Linked DNA regions of Ovis aries. The protein of the gene in region 2 interacts with the protein of the main gene of each other region in a pairwise test. Links are inferred from orthologs where the notes say so. Each region holds a gene or a part of one and is shown on either strand. Other genes may lie near its edges.

Evidence for each region. The genes of interacting proteins can lie anywhere in the genome.
Region 1: the proteins of RAB2A (region 2) and FAM114A1 interact in binary tests that used the Homo sapiens proteins (3 or more experiments, as listed by UniProt). The two-hybrid records come from large-scale screens. The link is inferred for Ovis aries from reciprocal best matches to the Homo sapiens genes RAB2A and FAM114A1.
Region 3: the proteins of RAB2A (region 2) and GARIN6 interact in binary tests that used the Homo sapiens proteins (3 or more experiments, as listed by UniProt). The two-hybrid records come from large-scale screens. The link is inferred for Ovis aries from reciprocal best matches to the Homo sapiens genes RAB2A and GARIN6.
Region 4: the proteins of RAB2A (region 2) and TBC1D25 interact in binary tests that used the Homo sapiens proteins (3 or more experiments, as listed by UniProt). The link is inferred for Ovis aries from reciprocal best matches to the Homo sapiens genes RAB2A and TBC1D25.

The regions. Positions count from the first base shown.
Region 1 is NC_056059.1:58,805,273-58,811,274, reverse strand, and holds the start of FAM114A1 (protein NOXP20), read right to left. Parts: upstream 3,411-6,002; 5' UTR 3,336-3,410; intron 1-3,335. UniProt on the Homo sapiens protein: May play a role in neuronal cell development.
Region 2 is NC_056062.1:39,201,235-39,206,782, reverse strand, and holds part of RAB2A (ras-related protein Rab-2A), read right to left. Parts: intron 1,843-5,548; coding exon 1,731-1,842; intron 1-1,730.
Region 3 is NC_056056.1:169,269,509-169,275,691, forward strand, and holds the start of GARIN6 (Golgi-associated RAB2 interactor protein 6), read left to right. Parts: upstream 1-2,773; coding exon 2,774-2,822; intron 2,823-6,183.
Region 4 is NC_056080.1:56,503,802-56,509,777, forward strand, and holds the start of TBC1D25 (TBC1 domain family member 25), read right to left. Parts: upstream 3,411-5,976; 5' UTR 3,310-3,410; coding exon 3,190-3,309; intron 1,369-3,189; coding exon 1,259-1,368; intron 242-1,258; coding exon 87-241; intron 1-86. UniProt on the Homo sapiens protein: Acts as a GTPase-activating protein specific for RAB33B. Involved in the regulation of autophagosome maturation, the process in which autophagosomes fuse with endosomes and lysosomes.

The sequences.
Region 1 (6,002 bases), on a different chromosome or scaffold from region 2:
ACTATATTTTTACATCTTTCCAAATCATCAAAATGGTCGGCCCTACTTTAACTTCTAATCGTATGTGAACTTTTCTACCTGTTACAAGTCCATATTTTCCCTGAATCTAAACCAAAAAAACAAAGCTTCCTCCAAATCTTTTTTATTCTGGTAGACCGTGGTCTACTCTGGATGTTATGACAGGAGAGAGGTAGTCATTTTTAAAACAGTGCCCTTCCACCTGAAGTCATTATAAACTGTGTGTTCTAAGACACAGCTGTTCCTATGTAGGGACTGTTGGTGGCTGGGATGCATGCTGTGTGTCCTGGGTTGGCCCCCATCTCTGCCTGGGTGCCCCAGAAGCAGTCGGATTTAAACTTGCCCTGATTTATGGTTTGGACTGTTGACCATTACAGCCGTGTCCTGTGGCTTTGATGCTAGGGAGCCTCAACCCACAGAAACAAGGAAGTTTCTTCAGTAAACTCCAAGAAGAGGAAGAGTGGCATATAAAGAAGCCTTTGTGGGCTGGGAATATAAGTTAGTTTTTCATGAGTCAATTCATGCATCACCTAAAATGCTCCCAGAGCTATGCTAGGTATTGGAGCAACAATTTCATGGCTCCAAAAATAAGTTTAAAATGGAAGACATCCTTCAGAAAATGAATAATCTGTTTCCATCTGATTCCTGGTCAGTGAAGGTCCAGGAAGCTACTGCATCTAACACAGAATGGTTAAATGATGATTTAAAACAGCACATCACAGCAAGTAAAGAAGTGCCTGAACTAGACTGATCTCATACAAGGGAGAACCTTGAAAGAGGCTTTGACAGTCATTAAGGCCTGATGGGAAAGGAGTGTATGCAAGTGCTAGGAATGAATCTAGACATGCAGAATGGATGCTGTGCGGCTGGGCCAAGAGCCACACGGAGGAATATCAAGGGATGGGAGGGATGGATGCTGAGGTGGAAAGAATTGTGCTCTGATCTCTCTATCCCTCTGCAGGTGTACAGCCCACTCATTCTCATTGGGCTTCCTTACTTCCTCCTCTGGAGAGTAAGGGTGGTGGACATACCGATCTGCATACTTTGTTCCCGCGCACCAGACTGCAGGACTGGGACCAGCCCGTGATGACAGAGAAAAATAAGGACAAGATAGAGAGTGTTTCATCAGTCTAAATTTATTCAATGTAAAGGACTGCCTTCATCTTGCAAGTTTAACCTTCATGCTTTTCTTGGTATTAAAACATCTTTCATTTTATGAAATAGTATTGGAGTGCATGGATTTGTTAAATGGTCTCACTTGGCAAAATAAGGAGTTGGTAATACAATACCCTGTGTGAGATCACTGCCTCCAAATTTAAAAAGTGTCAGTCAGTGAAAGACCAGGAACAAAAACTGGATGACAGGATCTTAACCAGGTTGCAAGAGTTCCAGCGGTACTTGACAAGTATGTGTACCCAGAGCCCAGACTCTTTTTCCTCCAGTCTGGCTTCCACACGTCTGCCAGGTAACTTTATGAAACACAAATAAGGACCTGTTTAAAAAACAGGAGGTTTAAACACCTTTGCATGGCATCTGGGGCCCCTCACAGTCCAGCTCCACTTTCTCTATCAGCCTCCTGGAACTCTCAACTCAACAGACAGCACATTTTCCATCACTGCCCAGGCAGCTCATAAACATCTCCATCTTTGCTTATGCTGGGTTTTCTGACCAGGATGCCCTGCCTCCAACTGCCTGGCAAAGTCCTGTTTTGTTTTTTTTTTTTTCTCTCGGTGTCTAGAATCACTTTCATCAACTCAATGGACGTAAGTTTGACCAAACTCCAGGAGACAGTAAAGCACAGGGAAGCCTGGTGCGCTGTAGTTCATGGGATGGCAGAGTCTGATATGACTCAGTGGCTGAACAACAATGTTACTTTCTACTTTGAAATTTTCCCAAATTTGCCCCACTCCTTCCAATGTTTTAGAAGATACATTGCATAGACTTCTATGGCATTTTTAAGGAGTATTTATTTCTGTATCATTTTTTTGGTATCATTTTTTAAAAGGAGACATTTGTCTCTCCTCCAGAACTGTGACCAACAAGCACCTAGCTTGTTTTCCGACGATCTAATATTTACTGAACTGAAATATATTGTTTGATATTGATTAAAGAGAAACAATGTGTGATGTAAGCCTGGTCTAATGATGTCTGAATCCGTGAGAATCAGCAAGGCTCCTTCCCACCCTCAAATTCCTTCTGCACTGGCTCCAAGGAGGCTCAGATCCCACCCTCAAAGTTCCCTTCTTTTGCTTAGAACTTATGCCCTAAGAAGTTTATCAGATTTTTTCCTGAGCTCAGGAAAGGAAGGAAAGGCAGGGAATGGACACAGGTGAGGTGGGGAAGGGGCAACGGGAGGAAAAGAGGGCAGAGAAGGCTCTGAGGAGAAAGCCTGCCTACTTAGTTTTCTCAGGGTGGACGAGGTCTTCTGGAGTTCGGGACATTGACTTTAAAAGCCACCCACTTGACTCTCTCAAGATGTTTAGGATGAGAACTGATGGCATCGAAGGACAGAGAGATCACCCTGACAGTTCATGCAGAGTTCTTTCTACTCCAGGAAGGGCAGTGAAATTCAGGTGCCTGATCTGAGATGGTTAGAAATACCTGGTTCCAGGGAGGAAGAGGAGCGACTGGGCCGGCGGGTGGGGGGGTTGGGGCGGGGAGTGGGGCTCAACCTGGAGGCTGTGAATAGAGGTGGGCTGGCTCAGGGTGCTAGCTGGGGTGGAAGCGCCGGCAGTGCCGGCGTCTGCAGCGGGAGAGATGACGGATGATGAGCTTAGGTGGGAGGGCAAGGCCGGAGCTCGGCTTTTCCAGGCCAAGGGCTGGCGAACCCCGGGATGAGACTTGCTTCGCCTGTGCCCGCCGCTGCGGACACCCCGCAGCTTGCCTCTCACTGGGACCTGGGACCTGGGGGAAACTTTTTCAGACTTGCTTTGTGCTGGGACCGAATACTTCGGGAGCACAAGGCAGGCTCCGCAGAGGTTCACGCCGGCCGAGGGGGCAGAGCAGGAGTGCGGGCGTGTGGGTGTGTGCATGAGCGTGGACCCGGAGCGACACACACTCACACACACACACTCACACGCCCGCACCCACGCGGGGCCCTCGGCCGCGCCGCCCGCGCCTGCCCGGACCTTCACCTCCAGGGCCGCTCCCTCCGATCCTGCGCCCGGTGCCCAGCCCCTGCCGACTCGGGGAACCGAACGGGATAGACAGAGACGGCAGGGTCTCCCCGTCACCCCGCCGCAGCTGTTCCCGCATCCCCCCGCCCCCGCGCCCGCCCGGGGAAGGGGGTGAAGGCGAGAGGTGCCCGGGGCTCTTACCGCTCAGGCGGCCGAGTGCGCGCGGGAGCGCCGCCGGGTCCCGCCCCGCCACGTCGGCAGGGCCGGCGGGGACGCGGCCGGAGGGCGGGCTGGGAGCGGGACGGGGCGGGCTGGCCGCGCGGCCCCGCCCCGCGGCCCCGCCAGGGCCCCGCCCCCGCGGCCCCGCCAGGGTCCCGGCCCGGAGCGCGGCGGAGGTCCGGGCACCCCCTCACCCAGGCTGCGGGGCTCGAGGATGGGGGTCGCGGCCGCATTTCCGACCAAGCATCGGAAACTTGGTTTTTCCGAACTTCGTGCCGCCTGGTGAGCTGGAGGGGCGCCCACCCCCGCCCGGGGCGGATCTAGGGGCTCTCCCGTTCCCTTTCCTTCCTTTAAAAGCGGCCAGGAAACTGCGCAGTTAAACCAGGAAGGGGTTGCTCAAGTTCAGCAAGAGTTTTCGATCCCACTCCTCCGCCCCCGCCCCCACCCCCCCGCATGGTGCTTTAAATAGCTTTCCCTTACCCTGTTTGTGAGAGTGTCATCTGATTTAAAACCAGCCAACCGAATAAAAACACTTTCTAGAAGGCCAGTTTGGAAACGTGGATCAAAATTCAAATGTGTTAGCACTGGCCCAGGAATTCCACATCTGCGAATGTGTACCAAGTAAGCAGTCAACTGTGCACACGTGTATGTCCGAGGATGTTGACTGTGATTGTTTGTGCCACAGAAAACAACCCGGAAGTAAACTGTCCTCCCAACAAAAGATTGGTGAAGTAATTTTTAGTAACTTCAAACGACCAGGTATGCTGTAGTCGTTAGAAATTATAACTGTATGTCCAGTTTGTTGATATGGAAGGAGGGCGGACCATAGCCGAATATTAAGTGAGGGCAGGGAAAACTTAGAAGAGCGCATGTACAGTATAAATCTATTCTTGTGAATATATAGTATATGTATTTTTATATAAAAAGGAGATTTTAATGTTGAAAGCAGTTATTTTTTTCTGAGTTCTTCAGTGGTGTTAGCAAATTGTATTCCAGGTGTGTTTTGGTGTACCACAGACACCGTGCCTGTGACTTATGTTTGCCTTGGGTCAAAGAACCCACCTGCTGATGCCGGAGACATTAGAGATACCGGTTGGATCCTTGGGTCCGGAAAATGCCCTGAACGAGGGCATGGCAACCCGACCCTCTCCAGTATTCTTGCCTGGAAGGTTTCATGGACAGAGGAGCCTGGCAGGCTATAGTCCACAGGGTCGCAGAGTCGGACACAACTGAAGCGACTTAGCACAGGGCACAGCAAGTTCCTTTGCCAAACCTGCCCCTCTCTACCCTGCTGAAAGGCAATAGCGCAATCAGGCATTCCACCCCACCCCCCCACCCCCCCGCCCACACACACCCGTTTTTTTTAATTTTAATTTTAATTTTATATTGGAGTATAGTCCGTTAACAATGTCGTGTTAGATTCAGGTGTGTAGCAAAGTGATTCAGTTATACACATTCCTGTATCAATTCTTTTTCAAATTCTTTCCCATTCAGGTTATTACAGAATATTGAGCACAGTTCCCTGTTCCTCTTGGTTATCTATTGTATATAGATCAATCCCAAACTCCTAATCTATCCCCCTCCTCCCCCCTACAACAATAAGTTTGTTCTCAAAGTCTGTGAATCTGTTTCTGTTTTGGAAAAAAAGTTCATTTGTACAATTTTTAAAAGATTTTACATATAAGCACCACTATATTTGTCTTTCTCTGTCTGACTTCACTTAATATGATGATGTCTAGGTCCATCTATGTAGCTGTAAATAACATTATTTCGTTCTTTTTAATGGCTGAGTAATATTCCATTACCCACATTTTCTTTATCTAGTCATCTGTAGACATTTAGGTTGCTTCCATGTCTTGGCTATTGTAAACAAGGTTGCAGTGAACATTGGGGTGCATGTAGCCTTTCAAACCATGTTTTTCTGCAGATATATGTCCAGGAGTGGGATTGTTGGATCTATGATAGTTCTATTTTTAGTTTTTTAAGGAACGTCCCTGTAGTTCTCCATAGTGACTGTGCCAATTTACATTCCTACCAACAGTGTAGGAGGGTTCCCTTTTCTCCACACCTCCTCCAGCATTTATTCTCTGTAGATTTTTGATGATGGCTATAATGACTGATGTGACATGACATCTAGTTATAGCTTTGATTTGCATTTCTCTGATAATTAGCAATGTTGAATGTCTTTTCATGTATCTCTTGGTCAGCTATATGTCTTCTTTGGAAAAATGTCTGTTTACGTCTTCTTATTTATTTATTTTAATTGAACCTCATTCAGTTTAGTTCAGTTCAGTCGCTCAGTCACACCAGGCCTCCCTGTCCATCACCAACTCCCGGAGTTCACCCAAACTCATGTCCATCAAGTCAATGATGCCATCCAGCCCTCTCATCCTCTGTCGGCCCCTTCTCCTCCTGCCCCCAATCCCTCCCAGCATAAGTCTCTTTTCCAATGACTCAACTCTTCACATGAGATGGCCAAAGTATCGGAGTTTCAGCTTTAGCATCAGTCCCTCCAATGACCACCCAGGACTGATCTCCTTTAGGATGGACTGGTTGGATCTCCTTGCAGTCCAAGGGACTCTCAAGAGCCTTCTCCAACACAGTTCAAAAGCATCAGTTCTTCGGCACTCAGGTTTCTTCACAGTGAGC
Region 2 (5,548 bases):
AGATGCAGGAGTCCTTTGGTTATTATTTTCATGTTCAAATGATTTCCTCTGGATCACAGAATGGACTTCCATCTTCTTATTTTATCATGAAACATTTTTAGCTTTTAGGTAAGATCTCACATGTTATATTATGCAATGCTTATCTATGAATCCTTTAAAAATGGAATTTAAAAAGATTATCTCTTAATATCCTTGGCTTCTGAGAGGCAAATTAATTTACATGATTAAGAAAAGTGCTGTTCTCTCAAGACTGTGGAAAATTCCTGCCCTGATCAAATTTAAACAATTATTTTCATTATTAACTGCAGATACAGAATTTTTGTAATAGTGCTGCCAAAACATTAATGAAATATACTTCATTTAAATGTTCAGTCAAATGACAATAGTAATTTTCTACTTATAAATAAATACCTATTGTGACTTGTTAAAAATAAGAAAATGAACACAAAGGCTTCAGAGTTAAAACTAGAAATTCAGAATTACTTTCCGGTAGTGGCAGTCTTGTCATTTGACTTCATAGGACAGCTCCTTCATAAAATATAGATAGTTCTGGTTTTAAGGTTCTCAAAATCAACAAGAAAATCCTGTTTATAATCAATAAGGATATGTTTCATATGTCTTAAAACCACCACAACACACTAGCCCCTCCAGTTTCAAATCCAACACCTCTAAGAAAAGAAATGTATCACTGAAACAGGCAGCTTTCTATTTTAAGTTAAACAAGAAGACAGAATGGATTTCTCTCTGGGTTTGCTGTGTAAAGTAAAACATTTTCATATGTCTTCAAGTTGCAATTAATTGGTAACACAGGTAAAGCATTAGTTGGAGCCTGTAACAAACATATTAAGGACAATCACAGAGCACCTCATTAAGTGGAGATGAGCAGGATATCTTACCTAAGAATCCTTCAGTAAAAATACCAATGCTGCTGAACTACTATAGTCAACTTCTGGGTTCAACAGGTAATTAGACGAGTATTATTCTTAATAAATATGTATTCACTGTTTACTATGTGGAAGGCACAGGGCTAGCTGTGGCCTAGGACCCCTATCCTTAAAGGACGTGCTTCTCCAATCATTGCAGAATCCCTTTCTGCAGCTGCTTTTAAAATTCTTACCCAGAAGGCAGAAACTGCAGCATTACACTGTGCAAACTACATATTTTCTTAGGTCTCATTTCTCCTTTTAGAGAGGATTAACTGCCTACTTCTGCATGTGCAGTAAATAAATACCATATCCCACATACACAAAGCACAGGAAAATATGGTGTGTTCAGAAAACTTCCACAGTTCAGGTTGACAACAGAAATAATTGAGATACCACAAATCTTATTTATTAAATATGGCCATGTTGTGTATAATGTTACATAGCAATAATACTTCCTCTATTTAAGCAGAAGTGGATGCAAACAGCTACAAATGTTTAGTGTCTTGAAACACTTCCAAATTTCATTACTGTTCTTTTTTTTCCCTCTTCAGCCACATTAAAAAAGATTTTAGGGAAAGTATATACAAAGATCCGTTAAATCATTCTGACTTCAAGAGAAGCATCAGAATATAATTTAAGAATCTAATATAACATGAATGTTACAAGGTATTTCAAAGGAAAGAAATTTTCTACTTTCAACAACTATCTGTGTCTAAAAAGCTTATGGGGTATAACCAACAAATGATTAACAAATGATTGCTATCATGCAGAATGATATGCATTTTTAAAAGGCCTTTTATTTACCTCTTCTACATTAGAAGCAGTCTTAGCAGAAGTTTCCATGAAGATAAGTCCGTGTTCTCGTGCAAAAGCTTCACCTTCTTCCTTTTTAACTTCTCTTCTAGATTCTAAATCACTGAACATGGGAAAGAAAGGGCTCAGTTATCAACCAACACAGTACAATTAGATTCAAAGTTGTGCTGACCATTCTTCCAATTAATTTTTCACACATAATCATCAACTGCATTATCCTGCGTATTACGAGAGTCGAAGTGCACACAGCTGAGCTTCAAAGAACTAACAATCCAAGCAAAGAAAGATTCTAAGTTAGAGTCCTAGATGCTAAACCCAGAGAAACTCAAAGTGAACATCAAGCCTCAAATCCCACCTTTGAGTACAGCAGGTTCCGAAAGAAGGAACTATCTTACTCAACATAGTTCACTAGGCTCCTCATCCTGCAGCCAGACTCAGAGTCTGAACATGATTAAAAATAAGTCACACAATCCTCAGAGACTACAGGAAGTTGACTGATAAAATTCAAAGTACTACTGAAACATTATTATTCATCCTAGTTGGTTTAATTCCCAATAAAACTGTTAATGAAAGAAGAGAGAGAGAAAAATAGAAGTCTAATTTAGAAAGTTTGGACAGAAGTACAGTATTCATTTTTATCATACTGGAATTATATTAGTTAAGGTAGGGGTAAAAAGTAGCTGTCTCTTCTTCAAGTATGTTTTATTGTTAAAAAAAAATTAAACTCAGTCTGCATAACTGGATGAAGATAATCTATCCAACAGGATCTGGGGACAGACCACTCATCAAATCAGACATTAAACACCTCGCCCCCACCCACCCCGGCCACCTCATGGAGCTTATATTCTAGCAGGAATAAAAAATAACGGTTGGGGTATACCCTCAACAATGATATGGCAGTGTGCTACTGTCAGCTCCCTTTTCTGACAATCATTCTTAAGACTTTTGTTATCTGAAATTAGCCTTAAGTTACACAAAATCTTCAAGAAAATACTTTCCCTTAACTGCCCTTCATCCCATTTTATGTGTATCAGTTCAGTTCAGTTGCTCAGTCGTGTCCGACTCTTTGCAATCCCACGAACCGCAGCATGCCAGGCCTCCTTGTCCATCACCAACTCCCGGAGTCCACCCACACCCATGTCCATTAAGTCGGTGATGCCATCCAACCATCTCAGCCTCTGTCGTCCCCTTCTCCTACCCTCGATCTTTCCCAGCATCAGGGTCTTTTCCAATGAGTCAGCTCTTAGCATCAGGTGGCCAAAGTACTGGAGTTTCACCTTCAACATCAGTCCTTCCAATGAACACCCAGGACTGATCTCCTTTAGGATGGACTGGTTGGATCTCCTTGTAGTCCAAGGGACTTTCAAGAGTCTTTTCCAACACCACAGTTCAAAAGCATCAATTCTTTAGCACTCAGCTTTCTTTATAGTCCAACTCTGACATCCATACATGACCATTGGAAAAACCATAGCCTTGACTAGATGGACCTTTGTTGACAAAGTAATGTCTCTGTTTTTTAATATGCTGTCTAGGTTGATCATACCTTTTCTTCCAAGGAGTAAGCGTCTTTTAATTTCATGGCTGAAGTCACTATCTGCAGTGATTTTGGAGCCCAGAAAAATAGTCAGCCACTGTTTCCCCATCTATTTTCCATGAAGTGATGGGACCAGATGCCATGATCTTACGTTTCTGAATGTTTGTGTATGCCATGTTTTATTTAAATAATCCCTTATTTGGGGATATTTCAAGTTACTCACAAGTTTTCCCTACCAGTATCTCTGATGATGTCTACATTTGCAAATGTTATATTAGCAGAGGGTTAAGGATGTGTACATATAAGGGGTTGTTTGAACAAAACAAAGTGGCACTTCAGTGTTCAGTTCTTCTGTTTTAGCATGCATTTCTTCAGTTTTCCAGGCATAAAATCATATTATTGTCTTTGAGCTTTCACCCCATTAATCCCACTCAAATCACTTTTACTACTTAAATATCTTTCTTTCCTAAAACATTTTCTTAACTTATGCTTTCTTGTTTAGGGTATTCTAATCCTTTAACTATTAAAAACTTTCATCTTTGTAGACTCTGCTTTCTAATTTCCTGTATAATCAATTCCCAATGCCACAGTTAAGAAATATCTATGTCATCTGTCATTCTGACTAGGTCACTACCTTTCTCAAATGGTTCCACTGGCTCCCTACAGCTTAATTCACCTAACTCAAAAACGGCTTAGTCTCTGTCTCCAGGTTTACCCCAATTCCCCTTATCTGATGATAATCCCATTTATCTCTGTCCATTGCCATTCACTCTTTGAATGTCATACATTTCCTTTTTTTCTTAGTTTCTTCCCTAAAATGTCTTTCCATAGCTAGTGTATCCTAAAGAACTACCCTTCTACAATCATTAGAAACATGTTTGGTATACACTATATTTTGCTCTTTCTTTTCACAACTGAACTTATAGGCAGCAACCAAATTTAAGCCACCTAAGTGGCTTCCCCAGTGGCTCAGTGGTAAAAAGCTGGCCTGCCAATGCAGGGTTCGCTCCCTGGGTTGGGAAGATCCCCTGGAGAAGGAAAGAGCAACCCACTCCAGTATTCTTGCCTGGCAAATCCCATGGACAGAGGAGCCTGGTGGGCTATAGTCCATGGGGTCGCAAAAGAGTCAGACATGACTTAGTGACTGAACAACAAGCTGCCCCAGTCTCGTTTTTTTTTTTTTTTTTTCCCAGTCTCGTTTTAGACACAAGGAAAACACTGGTAAGATAAAAGTGTGAAAATTTTCTTTATTCCTCAAATATTCTCCTCTTATTATTTCACACATATGGTAGTATGAATACTTCCATATTACTGAATACAAAGACCAAAGCTTCCCTCCAATAGCCTTAATCTTAAAAGAATTTTGATATCTGAGGGGAATGACAGAATCAATCCCCCATGGATATGGAGGGACAATTGTATGTTCTCCTAACAGCAAACCTCAATTAAAATAACACTAAAAAAATTTAATCTACTCAGTATAATATTTACTTGTTATATTACTTTTTTAAAAACAGCTTTATAGCAATATAACATTAAAAAAATACATTTAATAGAAAACTTGATGAGTTTGATATGTGTATACCCTGTGAAGCCACCATTCCCCACTGTAATTCACCTGTTCCTTCCCCTGTGCCCTAGGCAACTAATGATCCGCTTTCTGCTATTAAAGAACAGTCTGCATTTGCTAGGGTTTTACATAAATGGAACAACAAAACATGTCTCCTTTATCCTCTTTTTTCTCGGGTAAATACTTAGGAGTGAAATGGCTAAGTGGTATAGCAAATGTGTGTTTATTTTCTAAAGAAACTCCTAAATTGTTTTGCAAAATCATTGCATGATTTTATATCCCCACCAGCAGATGAGAGTTTCAATTTCCTCTAAATCCTTGCCAATACTTGTTAAGTTGATCATTCTCTATGTAAGTAATGTTTGACAAAATCAGAATCCCTAAAATTTAATATGCTTTCTTCTAGAGTTTTTTTTTAAAATATCTTTAGCTCTTACATTGAGGTCTATAATCAATTTCCAGTTAATTTTTGTATATGGTGTGAGGTAAGGATCAAGGTTAATCTTTTGCACATGGCTATTCAATTGTTCCAGCTCCATTTGAAGAAAAGATTACCTCTTCTCCTACTGAACCATGGCATCTTTATCAAAAAACAAACTATATATGTATAGATTGACTTCTGATTTCTCACTCTGTTTCACTCATCTATGTCTATCTATGCCAATATCAGAATTACAGTAGTTTTACAATAAATCTTGAAGTCAC
Region 3 (6,183 bases), on a different chromosome or scaffold from region 2:
CCCTTGGAGGAGGAAATGGCAACCCACTCCAATATTCTTGCCTGGAGAATTCCATGGACAGAGGAGCCTGGCAGACTACAGTCCATGGGGTTGCAAGAGTCAGACACAACTGAGTGACTAAGCACATTGTAGCTCAGGAGAAATATCTAGGTTAAAAATACTTGAATGTATGAGATAGAATTGTGGTGAATATCAACATTCAGGGACTAAAAGGATAAAGAGAAGTCAACTAGTCACGCAGTAAAGGGAAGAATGAAAAGATTAGTGTTGTAGACACCAAAAGAGGAGAGGGAATGATGAGAACCGAATGTATCTCCAGCACAAGTGAGGCAGGCCTGGGACCTGGGACCCTTGCTGCAGTGCTGCAGTGCTTGCACTTGGACACAACCTTCCCTGAGCAACAAAATATGAACTACATGGGACTAAAATTAACTGCATGCATGAGCAGTTAGGACAAATTCTGGACAAATGGCACAAAGAAGCCGAATACCACTTGTCACTTCAAAATAGCCTGCAGCAAAAATAGGGCACTGCACATGCCCCCTGCACATAAGGGGTGGGCAAACCACCTAAGCCACCCCTCCAGCCTGACGCCTGGAACCAACTCATGCCCCAGCTCAGGAACACACCAGCAAGGGAAACTGTTGTTTGTTCTTGCTCCCCACTGTTGTTGAAAGGGACCCCCAGTAAAGCCTTGCCTGAATTTCTTGTCTTAGCTCTGATCAACTTCTATTGATTAAGGGGGCCAAGAATAGTGGTCTGTAACACAGGTGTACAAGGTACACTGGATCAGATATTATAATATATTGCCTAACAATTTTATTGTGAAGAAAATCTTGAAATATGAAGGATAAATATAATGAAACAATGTAAATTTAATATAAAAGAACAAGTATCTGAAGTTTAAGCTCTGGAAAACGGAAGAAAAAACAGAAGGCTACTATCGAGTCTTTGAGATAAATTACAGTGCACATAATATGCTTTGAGCTAAACACTCCTAGAATTAATAAACTGCCTAGTTATTCGATATAAATCCACATGATTTATACCAAAAATTCATTTACATTCTACAGAGGAAAAATATCTATTTGCTCCCTTCTTTCTAAAAAGATTTCTGAACTCTGGGAGAAAGTTTATGATGATTAATAGAGCGCTGCCAGAAATTTGTGTTAAGAGAAAAAAATTTAATCTTTAATATATATAAAGTTAATACTTGAAGCCAACTCTCAGTAAAAATTATATTTTGAGGGTTTTTTTTTCCCCAGAGAAATTAAAAGCCATATTGGATTTTCTAGAACTTTCCTACGGGGAAGCCTATCACACTCTAATTAAACGGCTGCCAGGAGGTAAGCATGCCCTGCTTACTACCTGCAGGTAGTGTATGACCCGCTTCCAGGCGCTCTTCATGCTCAGCTCACCTCGAGTTCAGAGCCATGATAAACCTTCTTAAATGCGACATCTAATAATAATGTAACAGAGACAATATTTTGGAAATATTAAACTAAGGGATGTTTCATCCTCCCTAAATTACAGTGCCTTCCATTTCCCTGCCTTATCTTATCACTGTCTATCAGATAAGATTAGGGAAATCTCAGGTCAGTGAAATGTATTCCTCATTTTCCCTAGTACAAACGAGAACTTAAAGAACTGCTACGTCAGAATCTCTGTGTGGGCCCTGAATGCAAATGAATGCATGCCTGGAAGCAACCTAAAGGCCATGGATGCTTTGGGAATTTGGCAGACATAGACTAGAGACACTTATCAGAAAGCTTCATGGTTGATCGTCTCAGAACTTGTTCCCATGAGAGCAGAACCTCTGTGAAAGAAGTAGTTAAATCTTTAAAAAGACCAAGCAGTAAAAGACCATTTGAAAAAGAAGAAAGCCTAGCCAGGAGCTAATTCCCTTTGAGGATTTTATTATCCCTGTGAGCTCTTGGATAAAGTGAAATAGCAGTCTCAGAGGGAACTGCTCTTTGAAGAAACGAGATGAGAGCTCAGCTTCTGAAGAAGTGGTCCCTGTATAAGCAGGGAGAGCACGAGACAGAGAGGGAGGTCATCGGGCCCATGCTTGAGGCCCAGCAGGAAGCACCGCAGGAGCTACAACTTGCATCCCAGGGAACTTCATGTGGATGCCATCAAACGTGACCCCAGTCTGTTCCCTTTTGAGAGGGAAAGGCCAGATCACATGCCTGCAGAAGGCCAGTACCACATCATCATCACGGTGTACACACCAGTGGAATTCAAGAGAGAGCTACAGGAAGCTGTCCTCAGAACACACTGCTCTTGAGAATCAGAATGACCTGGGTTCGAGGCTGCTTTACAAAATCATCAGTTCAGCTCAGTCACTCAGTCGTGTCTGACTCTTTGCGACCCCATGGACAGCACCACGCCAGGCCTCTCTGTCCATCAACAACTACTGGAGCTTGCTCAGACTCATGTCCATTGAGTTGGTGATGCCATCCAACCCTCTCATCCTCTGTCATCCCCTTCCTCCTGCCTTCAATCTTCCCAGCACCAGGGTCTTTTCCAATAAGTCGATTCTTCACATCAGGTGACCAAAGTATTGGAGCTTGCTGTTAATAAATAGAAGCTATGGAAGGAAGAAAGGAAAGAAGGAAGGAAGTGGGGGGAGGGAGGGAGGAAAGGAGGAGGAGGAGGAGGAAGGCAATGTCCAAAACTGAGCACCCATGTAGTGAGTTTAAAGTGGTTCAGAGAGCGATTTGAGTAGAGAGGACTTGAAATAGCCTCCCACAAATATCCCAGTGGTAGTAGTATGAGACAGAGAACCAGAAAAATTTCCAGTACCCCTAAGCCCTTGAAAGGTGAGTGAAACACAGCTGAAATTTAAGTCAGTAAACTTAAGTGCTTAAAGTCACCAAGTTACTACTTTGAGTTAAGATATGTCTGCCTCCAGAGACAGTTTTATCTCTCTCAAAATCCTACAGGGGTTTCTAAACATCTATTTTGAAATTTTGAAATTCTCTTATCTGGCATTCACCTGTCTCAAGATTCCCAAACCTATCCTTCTTCACTCAAAAATATATTAATAACACATGCATTTCTTATTGATACAATTAATTGTTGATATGAAGCAGGGCAAAGGCTAACAGAGTTTTGTCAAGAGAACACGCTGGTCTTAGCAAACACTCTCTTCCAAAAACACAAGAAAAGACTCTACACATGGACACCACCAGATGGTCAGCACCAAAATCACATTGATTATATTCTTTGCAGCCAAATGGAGATGCTCTATACAGTTAGCAAAAACAAGACCTGGAGCTGACTATGGCTCAGATCATGAGCTCCTGATTGGAAAATTCAGGCTTAAATTGAAGAAAGCAGGGAAAACCTCTAGACCATTCAAGCATGACCTAAATTAAACCCCTTATGAATATAGAGGAGGTGACAAATAGATTCAAGGTATTAGATCTGGTAGACAGAATGCCTGAAGAATAATGGACAGAGTTTTATAACATTGTAACACAGGAAGCAGTGACCAAAACCATCCTAAAGAGAAAGAAATGCAATAAGGCAAAGTGGTTGTCTGAGGAGGACTTACAAATAGTTGAGAAAAGTCAAGAGAAGCAAAAGGCAAAGGAGAAATGTAAAGATATACTCAACTGAATGCAGAGTTCCAGAGAATCGCAAGAAGAGATAAGAAAGCCTTAACTGAACAATGCAAAGTAATAGAGGAAAACAATAGAATGGGAAAGACTAGGGACGTCTTCAAAAATATTGGAGATAAAAAGGAAACATTTCATGCAAAGATGGGCACAATAAAGGACAGAAATTGCAAGGACCTAATAGAAGCAGAAGAGGTTAAGAAAAGGTGACAAGAATACAATGAAGAAGAACTATACAAAAAAAGGTCTTAATGACCCAGGATAACCATGATGGTGTGGTCACTTACCTAGAGCCACCTTCATATCCAGGAGTGTGAGGTCAAGCAGGCTTTAGGAAGCATTACCACAAACAAAGCTAGTGGAATAGACAGAATTCCAGCTGAGCCATTTAAAATCCTAAAACATGATAAACAGTTAAAGCGCTGCACTCAATATGTCAGCAAATTTGGAAAACTTAGTAGTGGTCACAGGACTGGAAAAAGTGAGTTTTCATTTCAATCCCAAACAAGGACAATGCCAAAGACTGTTCAAACTACCAGATAATTGCACTCATTTCACATGCTAGCAAAGTAATGGTCAAAATCCTTCAAGCTAGGCTTCAGCAGTATATGAATCAAGGACTTCCAGATGTACAAGCTGGATTTAGAAAACGGCAGAGGAACCAGGGATCAATTTGCAACATCTGTTGGATCACAGAAAAGGCACGAGAATTCAAGAAAAATTTCCACTTCATTGACTAGACTAAAGCCTTAGACTGTGTGGATTACAACAAACTGTGGAAAATTCTTAGAGATAGGAATACCAGACCATCTTACCTGTCTCTGAGAAACATGTGTGCAGGTCAAGAAACAACCGTCAGAATTGGGCAAGGAATGAAGGACTGATTCCAAACTGGGAAAGGATTATGTCAAGGTTGTATATTGTCACCCTGCTTATTTAACTTCTATGCAGAGAACATCATGCAAAATGCCAGGCTGGATGACTCACAAGCTAGAATCAAGATTCCTGGGAGAAATATCAACTTCAGATAATGCAGATGACACCTCTGTAATGGCAGAAAGTGAAGAGGAACTAAAGAGCTTCTTGATGAGGGTGAAAGAAAAGAATGAAAAAGCTGGCTTGATATTCAACATTCAGAAAACTAAGATTATTCCAAGGCAAATAGAAGAGGAAAAAGTGGAAGCAGTGACAGATTTTATTTTCTTGGGCTCCAAAATCACTGAGGACAGTGACTGCAGCCATGAAATTAAATGACACTTGCTCCTTGGAAGAAAAGCTCTGACAACAAACCTAGACAGTGTATTAAAAAGCAGACATCATTTTGCTGACAAAAGTCCATATTGTCAAAGCTATGGTTTTTCCAGTGGCCATGTATGAATGTGAGAGTTGTACCATAAAGAAGGCTGAGTGCCAAAGAATTGATGCTTTTGAATTATGGTGCTGGAGAAGACTCTTGAGAGTCCCTTGGACTGCAAGGAGATCAAACTAGTCAATCCTAGAGGTCACATCTATTGCTAGTTTCAAAATCAAATGAAAACCCAATAAAAATTAATTTTAAAAATAAGGAAAAATCTTAAAATAATGTTTTGAATAGTAAAAGATAATTTTAATAAAATGGTTTATCTCAAGAGATAGGAGAAGTTGAAATGCTGCTGGAAAGTGTTGTGGAGGAAGGAAGAAATTAAAACAATCCAAGCCTATATTACATAGTATCTTCATTAAAATGTCATTGAGTTAAAAAAAACTAATGAAATTATGTAACTTTTCCCTTAATAAACTATAATTTACCTTTCTGTAATGCAATTTGGCAATATATATAAAAGTCAATATATATATCAACAGAGGTTTGTATAGTCAAATTATGGTTTTTCCAGTAGTCATGTATAAATGTGAGAGTTGGATCATAAAGAAAGCTGAGAGCCAAAGAATTGATGCTTTGAACTATGGTATTGGAGAAGACTCTGCAGAGTCCCTTGGACTGCAAGGAGATCCAACCAGTCAATCCTAAAAGAAATCAGTCCTGAATATTCAAGACTGATGCTGAAGCTCCAATACTTTGGTCACCCGATGTGAAGAGCTGATTCATTGGAAAAGGCCCTGATGCTGGGAACGATTGAAGGTGGGAGGAAAAGGGGATGACAGAGTATGAGATGGTTGGATGGTATCACTGACTCGATAGACATGAGTTTGAGTAAGGTCTGGTAGTTGGTGATGGACTGGTAAGCCTGGCATACTGCAGTCCATGGGGTCACAAAGAGTTGGACGTGACTGAGTGTCTGAACTGAACTATAAACGTCTTAAAAAGATACTTACCTCTGTTCAGTGATTCAATTTTTCCAAGGAAATAAAATCAAAGATAGAGGATTTATGCATAAATGTGTTCATCAGAACATAATTACTAACAGTAAACTACTATCAACAATCTAAATGACTGGGTAGAGTCAGGAAAAGAGTGAAAATAATCTCAATAGAGGATGATTTTTTAAAAATCACTCTAGTATATTTTTAAAATTAAATATTATGCAAAGAAAAGGCAGAGGAATCAAATTGCCAATATATG
Region 4 (5,976 bases), on a different chromosome or scaffold from region 2:
GTGAAAGAGTGTTGTGAGGAGTAGAGTCATCCTATGGGGAAATGGGGGTATCACAGGGCAGTGCCCCCAGAGCACCGGGTACTCACTGTCCTCAGTAGGCCGGATATCTACACGCAGATGCAGGTAAGGTTTGGAGGCAGTGGCGAAGGCCGTGCTGAGGTCCCAGTCAGACAAGAGTGAGAGGTAAGCTTCCTGCCCCATCCGATCTCGGCCCAGGTAGCTGATACCAAAGTTCTTCTTCCTGGACAGAGGAAACACCGCAGCTTTCAGGGCCCCTGTGCCTGGGAAGCCTCAGGGACCATTTCCAAAAGAAGCCTGGGAAGCTTGTTTCACAAACACAGAAACAGATTCACATCTGCTTGTATGTGGAGAATACACTGAAAACTGGTACTGGGGTCTCCTCTAGGGAGGGTAACTGAGTAGTTGAGGGATGGAAGTGGGAAGCAAGCAGCCTTGCGCATAAAAAATAAAGCAAGCTGTATGGTTGTTATTTTTCACAACAGAAAATGTTTATGTAAAAAAGTCAAATAACAACTAAGAACTTGTTCTTTAGATACACCAGAGCAACTCTATGCAAAGCATGTTGTGTGATAACTACTGTCACCATGAACATGTTTAGTCACTCAGTTGTGTTCAACTCTTTGTGACCCCATGGACTGTAGCCTGCCAGGCTCCTCTGTCCATAGAATTTTCCAGGCAAGAATACTGGAGTGGGTTGCCACTCCAGGGGAGTCTTCCTTCTCCAGGGGAATCTTTCCAACCCAGGAATCAAACCTTCATCTCCTGTGTCCCCTGCATTGCAGGTGGATTCTTTACCTGTTGAGCCATCGCCAGAACTGACTGTCACCATGGAAACCCCCCCAAATACCCACCATTTTTGTACCCTTTGAGTCTGTTACCATGTGCATATATTCCTCCAAAATAACAATGATACCAAAATAACCATCACATTTGCCCCCACGAGACACTATTTTTCATCTATCAGGTTGGCAAATTTTCTAATGTTTTTTAGTAACCAGTGTTTGTGAGGGTGTGAGGAAAACAGAAACTTTATGGGCTGCTGCTGAGATGGTAAATTGGTAACACCTACCTGAACATTTTGGAAACATCTGTTGAAACTTAATTTGTTTATTATGGGACTATTTATATTAATGACAAAACAAACATCCTTCCCTACCAAACAACAGCAATAAAAATGCCAAACAACTGCTGTCAAGGTGGGTGGCCCACTGGTTTTGCCCCACACCCCATTACTCACCCATTCAAGTCAAAGGCTCGGATGAGGATGTGTTGTAACACATCAAGTGAAGTGATCTGGGGGTCCACAGCAAAAGAGCGAAACTCAAGCGGCAAGAAGCTCTCACATTTCTGTGGAGAGAAGACATGGGGTAGGCCATCAGGGGTCACATCACCACAATTACATGGATGATATGGCAGAAAGTAAGGGTAGAGATGTGGCAGGGGCCAGATCAAGGCGGGAGTTCTGGGCCATGGAGAGAACTGGGGTTTGTGCTCTGAGTGAGGGGGGAGGCTTGGGAGAGTTCTGAGTAGAGGAGGGATGTGGTCTGATTCAGGATTTAACAGGACCCTTCTGGCTGCTCTATGAACAGTCCATGGGGGACAAAGGAGAAAGCAGTGGTCCAGTGAGGAGGAGGCTACTGCAATAGTCCAGGCACCCAATCCTTCTACATCCCCTCAAGGATGGTTGCCAAGATCACCATGTTCAATCTTTTGTTGTTCAGTCAGTTGTGTCTGACTCTTTGTGATCCCATGGACTGCAGCACGCCAGGCTAACTCACGTCCATTGAGTTCGTGATGCCATCCAACCACCTCATCCTTAGACGCCCCCTTCTTCTCCTGCCCTCAATCTCCCCCAGCATCAAGGTCTTTTCCAATGAGCCTTGAGAACCCCATGAACAGTATGAAAAGGCAAAAAGACATGTCCAGCTTGGCCCTTATTAAACCAGTCCTCCACGCTGCAACCAATCTAGCATGTCTGTCTACAAAACTCTCTTGCTTAAATCTCTTTGAAAGGAACCCCAGGATTCCCAACAGGAGCTTTTTTGAATTTTACACTCTGGTACTACCAAACTCCCAGAAGTTACTCTGAACACATTTTGGCTCCAGGCCTGTGCTTGTGGAGATCCCCCAGTCCTAGGATGGAGGAAGGTGGAGTGGAAGGTCCTTCCCACTCTTTAACTGGCTCACTCACAGCTTAAGCATCTTTTCTTTGAACACCCAAACCTCTACCTTTGAGCTTGCTCTATTGCACTGAAGTGATGTTTACTTCTCTCGAGAATCTAACCTCTTCTCACCACCAGTGCCACCGCCCTAGTCTGAGCCACTATCACTGCTTGCTGGAACTACTGCCACAGCTTTCTTACTCTAGAATACATGCCAAAGGCCCTTCACAATCTGCCCCTCTCTTACCTCTCCTATCCACCTCCTACCACTCTTCCTCTCACTCTCTGGGCTCCAGCAATATGGAAACCTAAAGGAACATGTCAAACTCATCCCCACCTCCCAGCTTTTCTCTCGGTCTAAAACACTCTCCTTGCTGTTCTCTCGGTCTAAAACACTCTTCCCCCCTGATATGCACATTGGTGACTCCTTTTTATTTGGGTCTCTGTTCCTTCAATACCTTTCTGGGTATTTCCCTGGACGACCTTGGCTAAAGTAACTCCCTAGTTCGGAATCTTTTTTGTTATCTCCCCATGACATTCACCAGTGTCTGAAGCATTTCCTTTATTTAGCCGTTTGTCTCCCCGACGAGTGTGTCTGCTCATCCAGGGTGGGGATTTGCACAAAAGTGCACTCTCAACACAATGGTAAACTGATGTCAGCGCCTCCTTTTCAGACAGCAACAACCTCCCTCATTTCTCAGGGCTCCACTCCATTAAGGCCCCTCCTCCAACCCTATAGCCCCTCCTCTCTACCCACAATCTCCTCCTATCCATTCCAGAGGGCCCTACCCTTCTATTTGCAATCCCCACGCCCCACCCTCTGCCCCCGCATTCCCAGGTCCAGCCTTCCCCCAGCCCCCACCCAAGCCACCAATATTCTGCTCTCTAGCCTCTCCCCTCACGTAACACCCCAATTCTCAAGTCCCGCCCTCCATCCTAGGACAGCCACCACCTTCCCCTCTCCCGGGAGCTCTGGGCGGGCTGAACGACGAGCCACCAGCCTCACCTTGACTCGGACCCGCACCACCTCTCGCTCCTCCTCCTCAGCTGCCGCCGCCTGGGCCCCCCCACCAGGCGAGGGCGCTCCGGAGCCAGCCAAGTCCGATGACCCAGAGGCCGTCGCCATCCTGCTGCCACCCACCTCAGGGTGACAGCTGACCGTTGCCCCCTACCCTTGTGCGCACGCCAGAATGCGGGCGCCCGCGGCCCCACCTTGTGCCCTGGCGCAGGCGCAGAGGGCGCCACGCGACCCTACCCACCCCGCGCTTGGCACAGGGAGGAGGTCACCTCTGCGCTTGCGCAGAGTGTGCTGTTGCCAAGAGCCCCGCCCCCTAGAGCCGGGCATTTTGCCTCACTTTAGCCAGTGTGCAGGCGCCTACTGAGGCCCCGCCTCCCTCGTCCTTGATTTGGTCACTTTGCTTCGGGATTCGCCTAGGTGGATGTTAACGCGGCGACCTATTGGGGCGAGAAAAGTGGGCGGGGAAAGGACGCTGCTGCGCGATAACGTCAAGGCCTCACGTCCTGCCTCCCGTTGCTTCGAGTCTCTGCTTAGAGATGACGTCATTTATTTAAAATCATTTCAAATGAATCTGCTGAATGAAATAATCCTTTTCCCACAATCTTTTAAAAAATAGCTTACATGTTATGAAAATTCACGGACCTGTACATTTAGATTTTTGCAGTTTCTGCCTGCATGTTATACTTCAATAATTTACCGATAAAATCCATTTGTATGCTCTGTGGACAAGTTTGCCTCTGTTTTTATTGAATCTTTACAACACGTTGAAGTCAGTCCTGTTATTAAACGGTGTGTGCCCACCAAATATCAGCTGAATACTGGACATATTTTAGACTCCTTTGAGAAAGTTTATGTGCCACGAAATGCAAAAAGCCATTCTCACTTTACAACGTCTCTATGGTTTGGACAAAATACATGCTGCCCTTAAAAATGTAATTTCTAACCAAGGAGTCCTGTAAGGTACCTGGACTTCAGCTATTGCAGTATTGTACGGATGTTACCCTTAATGTTACCTTTTTAGAGAAGTCTCCTTTTCTAAAACACTTCTTGTGGCACTGCCAGGTTTTCTGATAGAAACAAGGAGTTTGAAAGTCGCTTTTCCTTAAAATTATCATAGAGTGGAATGAGCAAAACATTAGCCTAGAACTTGGAATTTATCCTGAGGGCCCTGGAGCACAAGCTTATGATGTGTTCAGATGCCCCTGTCTTGGTTGTGGAGAAACCTCTGGAAGGCAATATACTGGAAGCAAGGAGAGCAAAAAGGAGGTCCTTGCCATAGTGCAGGGGAGAATTTTCTCTTTCATTTGTTCATTCTTCCATTCAACACAGTGTATACCAGATAGTTTAAATATATTAATTCATCTAATCTGCATAAAAATCCTGAGGTAGGTACTATCATTATCAGCATTTTACATATGAAAGCACTGAATGAAGGTCATGGGAAAACATGCTCGAGGTCAAAGGGATAGTAAATGGCACAGAGAGAAGGGAGTGCAATGGGTAGAAGGTGGGGCTGTGCCTGCTGTACTTGAGGGAGAGCAAGGGCACCATCATGCCTTAAGTAAACAATGAGGTAAGTGATGGATCTGAGGTGAGAACTTAATGCATGGCTTTGGGTTAACAGTGAGGCATTTCTCAAAAAGTGACACTGTAGGCTCAAGCAGTAAACTGAAGTCCTGCTCTGCACAGGTCACCTGGAGCCCATCTACAGGTATCTGCAGTTTAATTATTCATGGTCATCTCCACAAAATTCCTCAAGTACCCATTTGTTTTATGACTGAAGGTCTAGGAGGTTAAAGACAGAGACTGCTGGATGAGCAATAGGGGTCTGTAGGGTGATGGGTATTTGTGGGTACATGATAAGTGGTCTGTGGGGGTGAGTAAAGGAATGTCTGTGGGACGAGTGATAGGATATGGTGTAAGTGATGGAAGATCTGTGGGGTAATTGGGGATCTATAGGGTGAGTGATGGGGAATGTAAGGTAAATGGGTTCTTCAAAGTGATTATGGGGAATTTACAGGGTGAGTGATTGAGGGATCTATGGTGAGTGATGAGACTTATGGGGTAAATGATAGGGCATTTGGTAGGAGTGATAAGGTCTGTGTAATACATGATGGGGGATCTGAGTGAGTCATAGAGTTCTAAGTGATGGACGGTCTCTTGGGGCAAGTGATGGGGTCTGTAGTGTGAGTGATGGAGGTCTGTGAGGGGAATGATTCTGTCAATGGAGCAAATGAAAGGCTGTTTGTGGGGACAGTGATGGGTATCTTAGGAGTTAATGATGGAGTATGTGGGGTGAGTGATGGGAGGGTAGTGGAGTGACTTTTGTGGGGGTCTCTGGTGTGAGTGATGGGAATCTTTAAGGTAGTGATGGGGTTCTTTGGAGTGAGTAATAGGGGATATATGGAGTTAGTAATGGGGTATTTGTGGGATACCTGATCAGGAGATAAGAGGCTGAGTAAACTGAAGAACTTGGATTTGGAAACTTCTCAGCCTGACCATATTTCAAAACAAGAAAGGGTATATTCTGGAGAGAATGCCAAGGGTGTGGATGGATGATCATGCCTTAAAAGACTTTACAGATGTGATTCATGGATCTAATTAACCATCAGGGGAATCTGTGGGGTCAGTGATGGAAATTTGTGAGGTCATAGGTTCGAGGCCTATGGCATGATGATGCTGGTCTCTGGCTGAGAGGATGGTGGTCTGTGGAATGAGTGCTGGAAAGATCTATAGGGTCAGTCATGGGGCATCTCTGGGGTTAATAATGAGAAA